3 linked regions of the Saccharomyces cerevisiae S288C genome follow. The protein of the gene in region 1 interacts with the protein of each later gene in a biochemical or structural test. Each region holds a gene or a part of one and is shown in the gene's direction. Other genes may lie near its edges.

Evidence for each region. Proteins that work in one complex are often made in the same cells at the same time.
Region 2: the proteins of NSP1 (region 1) and NUP49 form a complex in vitro, tested with the Saccharomyces cerevisiae proteins (3 studies listed by BioGRID, with this or other methods).
Region 3: the proteins of NSP1 (region 1) and NUP57 form a complex in vitro, tested with the Saccharomyces cerevisiae proteins (4 studies listed by BioGRID, with this or other methods).

What each region holds. Positions count from the first base shown.
Region 1 is NC_001142.9:363,793-368,911, forward strand, and holds NSP1 (FG-nucleoporin NSP1), read left to right. Parts: upstream 1-1,991; coding exon 1,992-1,992; intron 1,993-2,110; coding exon 2,111-4,581; downstream 4,582-5,119. Other genes in the region: MHP1 (Mhp1p), read left to right, coding at 1-1,653; NUP192 (Nup192p), read right to left, coding at 4,956-5,119.
Region 2 is NC_001139.9:179,186-182,693, forward strand, and holds NUP49 (FG-nucleoporin NUP49), read left to right. Parts: upstream 1-1,514; coding exon 1,515-2,933; downstream 2,934-3,508. Other genes in the region: chromatin-binding exonuclease XRN1, read right to left, coding at 1-928; RNA-dependent ATPase ROK1, read left to right, coding at 3,205-3,508. UniProt on the Saccharomyces cerevisiae protein: Functions as a component of the nuclear pore complex (NPC).
Region 3 is NC_001139.9:727,471-731,354, reverse strand, and holds NUP57 (FG-nucleoporin NUP57), read left to right. Parts: upstream 1-1,683; coding exon 1,684-3,309; downstream 3,310-3,884. Other genes in the region: Golgi transport complex subunit COG2, read left to right, coding at 534-1,322; 40S ribosomal protein uS12 RPS23A, read right to left, coding at 3,625-3,884. UniProt on the Saccharomyces cerevisiae protein: Functions as a component of the nuclear pore complex (NPC).

The sequences.
Region 1 (5,119 bases):
GATGATTTGGCCAAGTGGATGGTTCAATCAAAAGTGACAGGTCTAGACGTTGGTTTTAACGATTTGAATGGCAAACTTTCCTCTTTCACCGATGCTGTTTTAGGCAAAATACAAAAAGCTAACGAGAAAAACGTCTTCAAATTTTTATCTCTAAATGGGACAAATTTGAGAGTGAACGAACACGACACTTTTGAGAATAACGAGGTCTTAAAACTGATAAGCGTTTTATGTTATTTGGAAAATTTAAAATTCTTGGATATATCGAACAATCCTGCCATCTTCCCCCACTGTGTTCCGACGCTGATTGATTTTTTACCTGTTTTTGTTAATCTTGTCCGTCTGCATATCGACTACAATAATTTAAGTTCCACGAGTGTAGTGATGCTGGCCGAAATATTACCCATGTGTTCAAGATTGAATTATTTTTCCATGTTAGGAACGGAATTGGATTTGGCATCGTCTAAAGCTCTAGCAGAGGCGGTGAGGAAAAGTTCATCTTTGATGACTTTGGACGTGGACTATGTGTATATGCCAGAGAACATTAAGGAAAAAATTTCATTATATGCTTTAAGAAATATTCAAGGGGAGTTGAAAAGGGTTAATAGTGACGATAAAGATATCAAAGATAGCCAATTTTCAAGCCTACAGGACCAACTATCACTTTTATTAACTGAAAAAGCGGATAATTCCGAACATTACAACAAAATGGTTGAGAATTTCATGGCCAAAATCGCGTTGGCACGTATCAAGATTAGTAAAGTGGTTCATGATCTTTTTGATTTAAAACTGAATGGACAATTAAATTTGGAAGGTAAGGAAGCTTTGATTAGATTATGCTTCATAGAGGCAAGTTTGGAAAGAGGCTGTGACCTGCTGAAACAAAGACATAACAACACTTTGAAATCACCAGAGGCCGTCTCAAAAAGTCGGAAAGGGGGAAATCAAGCACAACCCAATTCCGAAAGCTGTCAAAGAATGTTACTAAGCTCATCTATATTACAAAATTCAGATCATATTGCGCTTATGCCATTCGGTAGTGCAATAGTCGAAAAGTCAAGCCCAGATGCAGAAGATGCCGTCGAATTCAGAGAAGGTGACGACTCCAACGTAAATCACGAAGACGTACCAGCAAATGATCAACAATTTCGAGATGAAGTTGATATCAAAAACAAATACTCTATCATTAAAAGAGAACTAGAACACGAAAAGCTTGTCGGTGGTGGCGATTTGCCAGTGGACAAAGAAATCTTAAATCGTGCCGCACAATCCTTAGATAGTGACCAGATAAAGGAATTTCTGTTGAAGAATGACGTCTCTACTATCCTTGGCGTCATTGATGAACTGCATAGCCAAGGGTACCACTTGCATCATATTTTCAAAAAACAGGGAAACCAAGAAGAGACCGCGTTCAGAACAAAGGATGAACAACAGTCCTCCCAATCCAATGATTCAAGTGCTAATGCGTCCCCTACCACTGATCCGATATCCACAGGCTCCAATACTTCTAGAACGAACGATAATGCTCATATTCCTCCGACCGATGCGCCTGGATTTGATAAATTTATGAACAATGCAGAGGAAAATGCCATTGACGCTGCTTATGATGATGTGCTAGACAAAATCCAGGATGCGCGGAACAGTAGTACTAAATAATAAGGGATTTCTCTTAATTTTTTAATCTCTTTTTTGTATTGGGTTTCGAAAATATAATAAGGAGCCCTCAGACATTTACGTATCCTTTCATGTATGATTATTTTAAGTATTTTGTATTTTTTATTATTATTAATGTAAGCATAATGCTTTTGTAGAACTTGAGACAACCCGGACGGGTCCGATGAGTTTTTTTCTTCAAACTTTTATAGAAAATAATAAATGGTGTTAGCACCACTCAGATGTGATATTTGACGTGTCGATTGTGATACCTGAAGACGCTATTGGAGAGCCATTGCAACGCACAGTCCAACAGTAATAAGCTCTGATCGTTTTGAAAAAGTATGTTTCTTTCCATTGGACGGTTGTCTTCCGATCAAAATTTTATCTCCTATACAATTTCTTCCTATTTACTAACGAAAACCTGCGAACCTGTAAACTACATGATTTTTAATATTAGTGAACTTCAATACACCTCAACAAAACAAAACGCCCTTTTCGTTCGGGACTGCCAACAATAACTCTAACACCACCAATCAGAATTCCTCTACTGGTGCGGGCGCCTTCGGAACAGGTCAATCAACATTTGGTTTCAACAATTCTGCGCCAAATAACACGAACAATGCAAACTCTTCAATCACACCTGCATTTGGTAGCAATAACACTGGTAATACTGCATTCGGTAACAGTAACCCCACAAGTAACGTTTTTGGCAGCAACAATTCTACGACTAATACATTTGGTAGTAATAGTGCAGGGACATCCCTTTTTGGATCTTCCAGTGCTCAACAAACGAAGAGCAATGGAACTGCTGGAGGAAATACATTTGGTTCTTCATCCTTATTCAATAACAGTACTAATAGCAATACGACAAAACCTGCGTTCGGCGGTTTGAATTTTGGCGGCGGCAATAACACAACTCCTAGCTCGACCGGTAATGCTAACACAAGTAATAACTTATTTGGCGCTACCGCAAATGCGAATAAGCCAGCCTTTTCCTTTGGTGCAACCACTAACGACGATAAAAAAACAGAACCAGACAAGCCTGCTTTCTCCTTTAATTCAAGTGTCGGTAATAAGACAGACGCTCAAGCTCCCACTACAGGATTTTCCTTTGGTTCACAACTAGGTGGAAACAAAACGGTTAACGAGGCTGCAAAGCCTTCCCTTTCATTTGGTTCAGGATCAGCTGGTGCTAACCCAGCTGGAGCTTCGCAACCCGAACCTACAACTAATGAACCAGCAAAACCAGCCCTCTCTTTTGGTACTGCAACATCCGACAATAAGACAACTAACACAACCCCAAGTTTTTCGTTTGGTGCTAAATCGGATGAAAATAAAGCTGGTGCTACTTCTAAGCCTGCCTTCTCATTCGGTGCTAAGCCAGAAGAAAAGAAGGATGATAATTCCTCAAAACCAGCTTTCTCATTTGGTGCCAAATCAAATGAAGACAAGCAAGATGGAACGGCTAAGCCAGCATTTTCCTTTGGTGCCAAGCCCGCGGAGAAGAATAACAATGAAACCTCCAAGCCGGCATTCTCTTTTGGAGCAAAGTCTGATGAGAAAAAGGATGGTGATGCCTCTAAACCTGCCTTCTCTTTTGGCGCTAAACCGGATGAAAATAAAGCTAGTGCTACTTCTAAGCCTGCCTTCTCATTCGGCGCTAAGCCAGAAGAAAAGAAGGATGATAATTCCTCAAAACCAGCTTTCTCATTTGGTGCCAAATCAAATGAAGACAAGCAAGATGGAACGGCTAAGCCAGCATTTTCCTTTGGTGCCAAGCCCGCGGAAAAGAATAACAATGAAACTTCCAAGCCGGCATTCTCTTTTGGAGCAAAGTCCGATGAGAAAAAGGATGGCGATGCCTCTAAACCTGCCTTCTCATTTGGTGCTAAATCGGATGAAAAAAAGGACAGTGATTCTTCGAAGCCTGCCTTCTCATTTGGTACTAAATCGAATGAAAAAAAGGACAGTGGTTCTTCGAAGCCTGCCTTCTCATTCGGTGCTAAACCCGATGAAAAGAAGAATGATGAAGTCTCCAAGCCTGCCTTCTCATTCGGAGCAAAGGCTAACGAAAAGAAAGAAAGTGATGAATCAAAATCAGCCTTTTCATTTGGTTCTAAGCCTACAGGAAAGGAGGAAGGCGATGGGGCGAAGGCTGCCATTTCCTTTGGTGCTAAACCCGAAGAACAGAAATCCAGTGATACGAGCAAGCCAGCGTTTACTTTTGGTGCTCAAAAAGATAATGAGAAGAAAACAGAGGAATCTTCTACGGGGAAGTCAACCGCAGATGTCAAATCAAGTGATAGCTTGAAATTAAATTCTAAACCAGTAGAATTGAAGCCAGTTTCTCTCGACAATAAAACACTGGACGATTTAGTAACGAAATGGACTAACCAACTAACAGAATCGGCCTCTCATTTTGAACAGTATACCAAAAAAATTAATAGTTGGGATCAGGTACTAGTGAAAGGAGGTGAACAAATTAGTCAGTTATACTCAGATGCTGTGATGGCGGAACATAGTCAAAACAAAATAGATCAATCTCTACAATATATCGAGAGGCAACAGGATGAATTAGAAAACTTCTTAGACAATTTTGAAACCAAGACAGAGGCACTTCTGTCCGATGTTGTGTCTACAAGTTCAGGTGCTGCGGCCAACAATAATGACCAAAAAAGACAACAGGCCTATAAGACAGCCCAGACTTTGGACGAAAATTTAAACTCGTTGTCATCCAATCTTTCTTCTCTAATAGTAGAAATCAACAATGTTAGTAATACATTCAACAAAACCACTAACATCGATATAAACAATGAAGACGAAAATATTCAACTAATCAAAATCTTGAATTCACATTTCGACGCTTTAAGGTCACTAGACGATAACTCCACCTCTCTGGAAAAACAAATCAACTCGATAAAGAAATGATCTAAAAGAAAAAATTCCCTCTATTCTACACTTATTTGACATAGGATGTGCTATATTAAATAATTATATATAGGTATCAAAATGTACGCGATGGTTCAGAACCTGCAATTAATTTAACACCTCAATCATACTTGTTTTTTTCCTTTTTCAAGAAGTTTTTGTAATGTGTCGTGCCGATCTGTAAACGACCTGGATTTTTATTTCATTAGACAGTAAATACGCACCAAATCAGAACCAAAGAAAGGCTTCTGTAGTGTATGAAACTAAAAGCCACTTTTTGTGATAGTTTCTTCTTAGTACTTAGTACACAACCAAATATTTTGCAAAATGAAATCGATTCCTAAAAGTAATTCTTAAAAGTGATAATGAATGACTTAATCGTTATTTTGATATCCTGTTAATGTGCATAACATCACAATTAGCTTCACCATTTCGTTTAAACTTTGGTTATTAGGATCCGACGAATTTTTCTTATCTTCTTTTTCCCTCAAAAGATCTCTTTTGAATATTCCGATCACTAGCCTCTTATACGTATTCA
Region 2 (3,508 bases), on another chromosome or scaffold:
ACAAAACGGGAAATGCTCCTTTGTTAAGGTGCAAATCTGGCAAATTGGGCAAGAAATCATTACCAATGACGAACATGACAAGAATAAAATCATCCAAAATACGTTCAAAATTGTATTCAAATTGCATTTCATCGGCAATTTCTTTGAATTCCAACTCCATGTATTCTCTTAATAAAGAAAGATGTAATAAGTAGAAATTTTGATGTTCAAGCGATTTTTTTTCACTATTTCTTCTACCAAATGTCACTTCTTCTCTCAATAACGCAAAATGTGGCCCATGAGTAGACAAACCCAGCATAATCAAATCTGCGTCAAGACCGTAAATACAATGTCTCGTATTCTGGTTGAAATCCTTTTGGGATTTTAAATGCCTTATAAAGTTCATGATCTTGTGTTCACCTTCACCTGGAACTTCATGGCCAGAAAATATGATTTGCACTTCCCTCCATTTGGAATCGTTAGAAATCTTGTCGTGAATAAAATATTGTAAGTTTTTGGTCAATTTGGCCATAAACTCCGTACCTGGAGTAATAGAATTCGAATCAAATGGCTCACCCTTAGGAATCTCGTCACCATTCTCAATAGCCTTCTTCAAGGCTTTTTCTGCATCCATAGCGGTTCTGAATCTACGAGCTCTTTGTTGATTCATCTTGGCACGAGGGGCCACACCATCAATAGCCATGTAGAAAATCTTCTTGGGCTTGATTGTTTGAAAAAGGTGATCGATATACGTACAGATTTTTGCAAAAACCTCTTCTTCAGTTAATCGCTTGGTTACATCATCGTCGTTACCATGCGTACAATTATGTAAAATCGAATTCATATCCAGGTATAAGTTATCAAACTCAGGAATCTGTGTTCCCTCAATAAGCTGTAAAATCATGGGCCATCTTTCTGAGATGTACCTGAAAAATTTTGGAATACCCATACCGTACTGATATATATTTGTTGCTGCTGTTGTTACAAGTGTTGATTTTTTTTCTCCTTATAGTACACGAATCGTCCTAGGATTAGTCAATTGCTTATTGTGAACCCGATTATAAGTACGGAAGAAGACAGTATCCTTTAGAAAATAAACTATTAACAGGAACGGAAATAAAAGGCAGAGAGAAAATAATAAAAGAATCGGTTCGCTTGTGCGAACGCCAAACAGATTTTATAATAACGGAAGAGCTGCTGAAAAAAAAAGCAAGCTGCAACTGTTATATTTGCGTAGATAAACTTTACAACCGGTAATTGGAAGTCGTAAGTACTTAGTTTGACGTTTTCAGTACTCGTTAAACTACTCCTTAAATTGCTTTCTAACCTCTTCTTGTTTGTCTCTGTTGTTACTTGCTCTGCGGTGGCGAAAAGACGAGCAAAGGAGGTTGTATATATCACTCAACACGGAATGTATTACAGCTTTCTCAAATAAATGTAGTTGAAAAAGACCATTAATCGTGAGAATAGTTACTGATCAGGTGATGAGACGATAAAAACAGTAATTGAGAGGGTTTTCACGGGTAGTGGGCACAATGTTTGGATTAAATAAAGCATCTTCGACACCTGCAGGTGGGCTCTTTGGTCAGGCCAGCGGAGCTAGCACTGGAAACGCGAATACTGGGTTTTCGTTTGGTGGGACTCAAACTGGACAAAACACCGGCCCAAGTACAGGTGGACTATTTGGCGCTAAACCAGCCGGATCTACAGGAGGATTAGGTGCATCATTTGGTCAGCAGCAACAACAATCTCAGACAAATGCATTTGGAGGAAGCGCCACCACCGGAGGGGGCCTTTTCGGTAACAAACCTAACAATACGGCGAACACTGGGGGCGGGTTATTTGGCGCTAATTCGAACAGTAATTCTGGCAGTTTGTTTGGTTCCAACAATGCACAGACGAGTCGTGGTTTGTTTGGTAATAATAACACTAATAATATCAATAATAGTAGTAGTGGCATGAATAATGCAAGCGCTGGACTATTTGGCTCTAAACCTGCAGGAGGCACTTCTTTGTTCGGTAATACAAGCACCTCTTCGGCCCCTGCGCAGAACCAGGGCATGTTTGGTGCAAAACCAGCTGGTACATCTCTATTCGGCAATAATGCAGGTAATACGACCACTGGTGGAGGGTTATTTGGCTCCAAACCGACAGGAGCAACGTCTTTGTTTGGTTCATCAAATAACAACAACAATAACAATAATAGTAACAACATCATGAGTGCGTCAGGCGGGCTATTTGGTAATCAGCAGCAGCAACTGCAGCAACAACCACAAATGCAGTGCGCATTGCAAAATCTATCTCAGCTCCCTATTACCCCAATGACACGGATTTCCGAATTACCACCTCAAATACGTCAAGAAATTGAACAACTAGATCAATATATTCAAAAACAAGTGCAGATCTCGCACCATTTGAAGGCCGATACAATCGATCATGATGAATTGATAGATTCCATTCCTCGTGATGTTGCATACCTACTGAAGTCAGAATCTGCAACAAGTCAATATTTAAAGCAAGATTTGAAGAAAATATCCTCATTTAAATCGCTAATCGATGAGGACCTTCTAGACACGCAAACTTTTTCGGTGCTCTTACAGCAACTATTAACTCCGGGAAGCAAAATTTCTTCTAATGACTTAGACAAATTCTTTCAAAAGAAAATTCATCTCTACGAGAAGAAGTTAGAGGATTACTGCCGTATTCTCTCTGATATAGAAACTGCGGTAAATGGCATTGATACAGATTTATTTGGCGCCCCAAATAACCCTAATTCTACAGCTATCACAGCAGATCTAGGTTCATCCGAAGCAGAGAACCTACTGCAGTTGAAGACAGGCTTAGCTGCCATAGTCTCTACTGTCATTGAGGAATTCACACTGTTTATGGATATCGCTGAGAGAATCGCCGTGTTACATCAAAAAACGAAAACACTGGCATCATTGAGCATATGAGTAAATCGCCCTGAAAGTTTATATAGTGCGTATAACAAGTACAAATGTCTTGTACAAATGTAATTTATACTAAATGCAATAGAATATAACATCAATCACAGTTTTTCAGTCACCATAATGGCGTCTTAGAGGCCGAACTAACTTTTCTTCGTGAAAAATTTTTTGCGATGAGATGGGAAGGAAAAAAAGTAATATTGACATCTTCAATTGAGAGATATTACCTGCAAAAAGGTACATACGATAGTAGAAGTTATCGAACAGGCAAGCCACCATGGATATTTTTAGAGTATTAACTAGAGGAGCTTCCGTGAAGAAAGAGTCAGGCCCAAAGGCTAAGGCAGCAGATTACAGCGTTATAAATGGAAATGATGAGAATCATAAGGAAGATAATAATGAAAGCCAGATCGTGAAAGAACTTGATTTCTTTCGAAACAAGAGAATCATTAGCAAGGTAGAGGATGATAGAGAGAAGACAACCGAAAACGATTCTCCAAACAAAGAGGAGAAGAGCGGCAATGATGATGGTCTGATAAAACCAGTGATTACCAATACCGTTGAGGCATCCGCGTTGAGAA
Region 3 (3,884 bases), on another chromosome or scaffold:
GTGCATTGTTTATACGTTACCTAGCATTTTAATGACCCTCCTATTTAGTTATCTTTTATCACATTCGTTAAAACCTAGAGGAAAAAAAGAAAACTGGAGGATTTCACAAATCTTCCTCCAATGTTGCTCATTTCAAGCAAAAAACGACCCCAGTGAGGGTTGAACTCACGATCTTGCGATTAACAGTCGCACGCCTTAACCAACTTGGCCATGGAGTCTTTTTGACTATGTTCTCGAGAAAATATAGGCTCTCTTAGTCCTCAACATTTTAATTATTTGAGTACACCAACCGGTAATCGTGAAATAGTTAACACTCTAGATCCAAAAAATACGTATTTAGGTATAATGGGATGTAAGACCGTTTTTATGAGGGTGCCTTATTTAAATTAAAATTATTATTGCTCGGGCCTTTACCTCGATTTCATGGAATTTTCAACAGGACAAGAAAATGAAGCTTAGAAAAAATATAGAATAATAAATAATATGAAAAGGGAATGGTCAACAGTCATAGTCGCAATTTCTCTCAGGGCGAAATGGACTTTTTGAATGATGATGAACTAGACTTAGATTTACCGGTAACCGCAGAAATATCGAAAGAGTTATTCGCAACAGAAATAGAGAAGTATCGTGAATCCGAGACTAATGGGACCGATGTTGATAACTTTGATGTCGACAGATTCCTAGTGCAGAAAAATTTCCATTACCTTCCTCTCGATTCCCTTATTAGAGATTTGTCTGGACTTTCACAAAAAATGGTACAAACATTATTAGAACAAATAAGAAGTAACTACGACGACTATCTGACTTTTTCCAATACCTATACAGATGAAGAAAATGAAACTCTAATAAATTTAGAGAAAACACAAAGTGATCTTCAAAAATTTATGACTCAATTAGATCATTTGATAAAGGATGACATCAGCAATACACAAGAAATTATAAAGGATGTCCTGGAATACCTAAAGAAGTTAGATGAGATTTACGGCTCTCTGCGTAACCATTCACAATTGACAGAAGCGCTCTCACTTGGAAAGAGATTGAGTAAATCTCTCCATGAAATGTGCGGTATAGAACCATTAGAAGAAGAAATTTGCTCTGGCCTGATTGAGCAGTTGTATAAGTTGATTACGGCATCTCGTCGAATATTGGAGTCTTGTGCTGATTCCAATTCACCATATATTCATCATCTGCGCAATGACTATCAAGACCTTCTGCAAGAATTTCAAATCTCACTGAAAATCTTGACCGAAAAGTGTCTTGAAAACCCATCAAGCCTGCAAAACCTATCTTTGACATTAGTCTCCATTATAAAAACGGCATAGTTGGGAGAAAACTTTCCATACTTCAATTGTGGACTGATATAAGTATTTTAGTTTTGCCCGCATGATCATCCCACATGGCTACAGCAGTTCTCTCATAGGAAAATAGTACAATAGCTACGTGATATAATCTAAATAATTGTTGCCAATGTGTAATTATATCATTTTGAACGTACGCGAAATGGATTATTTTCAAAAATTTTGTTTCTTGAAATGAGTAAAAGCAAAAGTCCAACTCTCCAAGTCGATGTAAACAACTTTTTGCCAAAGGGACTGAAAGACTAAATCGAGGATTATCCCGTTCAAACTATTCCAGAAACGCTCGTTAGTAACAAAAGACATACCTTGTTGACCAATTGATCACATGTTTGGTTTCAGCGGTAGTAATAACGGGTTCGGAAATAAACCAGCTGGTTCGACCGGTTTTTCATTTGGACAAAACAATAACAATACAAATACTCAACCTTCGGCTTCAGGATTTGGTTTTGGGGGCAGCCAGCCAAATTCTGGGACGGCTACTACCGGAGGGTTTGGTGCAAATCAGGCCACAAATACTTTTGGAAGTAACCAACAAAGTAGTACAGGTGGAGGCCTTTTCGGTAATAAGCCTGCTCTTGGCAGCCTAGGAAGTTCAAGCACTACCGCTTCAGGAACTACAGCTACTGGAACAGGTTTATTTGGGCAACAAACAGCACAACCTCAACAATCCACCATTGGAGGTGGGTTATTTGGAAACAAGCCAACTACCACAACGGGAGGTCTTTTCGGCAACAGTGCACAAAACAATAGTACCACAAGTGGGGGTTTATTTGGTAATAAAGTAGGATCCACTGGCTCACTGATGGGCGGCAATAGCACTCAAAACACATCTAACATGAATGCAGGCGGACTTTTTGGTGCAAAGCCTCAGAATACTACAGCGACTACGGGAGGCCTATTTGGCAGTAAGCCACAAGGATCAACAACTAATGGTGGCCTGTTTGGAAGCGGCACCCAGAATAACAATACCCTTGGGGGAGGTGGCCTTTTTGGCCAATCCCAGCAGCCTCAAACAAACACTGCGCCCGGACTTGGAAACACGGTATCCACACAACCATCATTTGCTTGGTCTAAGCCTTCAACTGGATCTAATTTACAGCAGCAGCAGCAGCAGCAAATTCAAGTACCGTTGCAACAAACGCAAGCAATTGCTCAACAACAGCAGCTGTCTAATTATCCGCAGCAAATTCAAGAACAGGTGTTGAAATGTAAAGAATCGTGGGATCCAAACACAACGAAAACAAAACTCAGGGCTTTCGTGTACAATAAAGTGAACGAAACGGAAGCCATTTTATATACAAAACCAGGACATGTACTTCAAGAAGAGTGGGATCAGGCAATGGAAAAGAAACCTTCCCCTCAGACAATTCCCATTCAAATATATGGATTTGAGGGTTTGAATCAACGTAATCAAGTACAGACTGAAAATGTAGCCCAAGCTAGAATAATTTTGAACCATATTTTAGAGAAATCCACACAATTGCAACAAAAGCATGAATTGGACACTGCGTCCAGAATTTTGAAGGCACAATCAAGGAATGTTGAAATTGAAAAAAGAATCTTAAAATTGGGCACACAATTGGCAACCCTGAAAAATAGAGGACTGCCATTGGGTATTGCAGAAGAGAAAATGTGGTCGCAATTCCAAACTTTACTACAGCGGAGCGAAGATCCTGCAGGTTTAGGTAAGACTAACGAACTTTGGGCACGTTTGGCTATCTTAAAAGAACGTGCTAAAAACATTTCTAGTCAATTAGATAGTAAATTAATGGTTTTCAACGACGATACAAAAAACCAAGACAGCATGTCCAAAGGCACCGGTGAAGAATCTAATGATCGTATTAATAAGATAGTGGAAATTCTGACGAATCAACAACGCGGTATAACATATTTAAATGAGGTTTTAGAGAAAGATGCTGCAATTGTAAAAAAATATAAAAATAAAACGTAATCAGGTTACTTAAATCAATGACTGAATTGTATAAAGATCGATCTATTACATATATAGCATTATTAACCAACTTAGTATATGAACAGAACTTCAACCCAAGGGAAGCAGACATTCACTATAAAACTTTTCTCAGCATCAAAATAAAGTGCAAATTATGTTGTTTTTTTCTATTGAATTATACATTCTATTAAAGAGAAAATATTGATGTGATTCTCTCCCATTCCTAATAAGAAATTAGAAGGAACTTTCTGGAAGAATAAAGAGATACATTAAGGTACAAAAACAATGTAGTCCTCGAGAGGATAACTTTCGTGCTTATGATCTTGGCTTTTCCTTCTTTTCTTTCCACAAAGCCAACAAGGAGACACCAGAGACCTTAACGACCTTGAATCTAACACCTGGAATATCACCCTTAGCTTTACCCTTTCTACCGAAACCTGCTAGCAAGACTTCATCATTTTCGTCGACAAAGTTCAAACAACCATCGTTTGGAACGAAAGCAGTGACCTTCTTACCGTTCTTGATTAATTGAACTCTAACACACTTTCTGATAGCAGAGTTAGGTTGCTTGGATT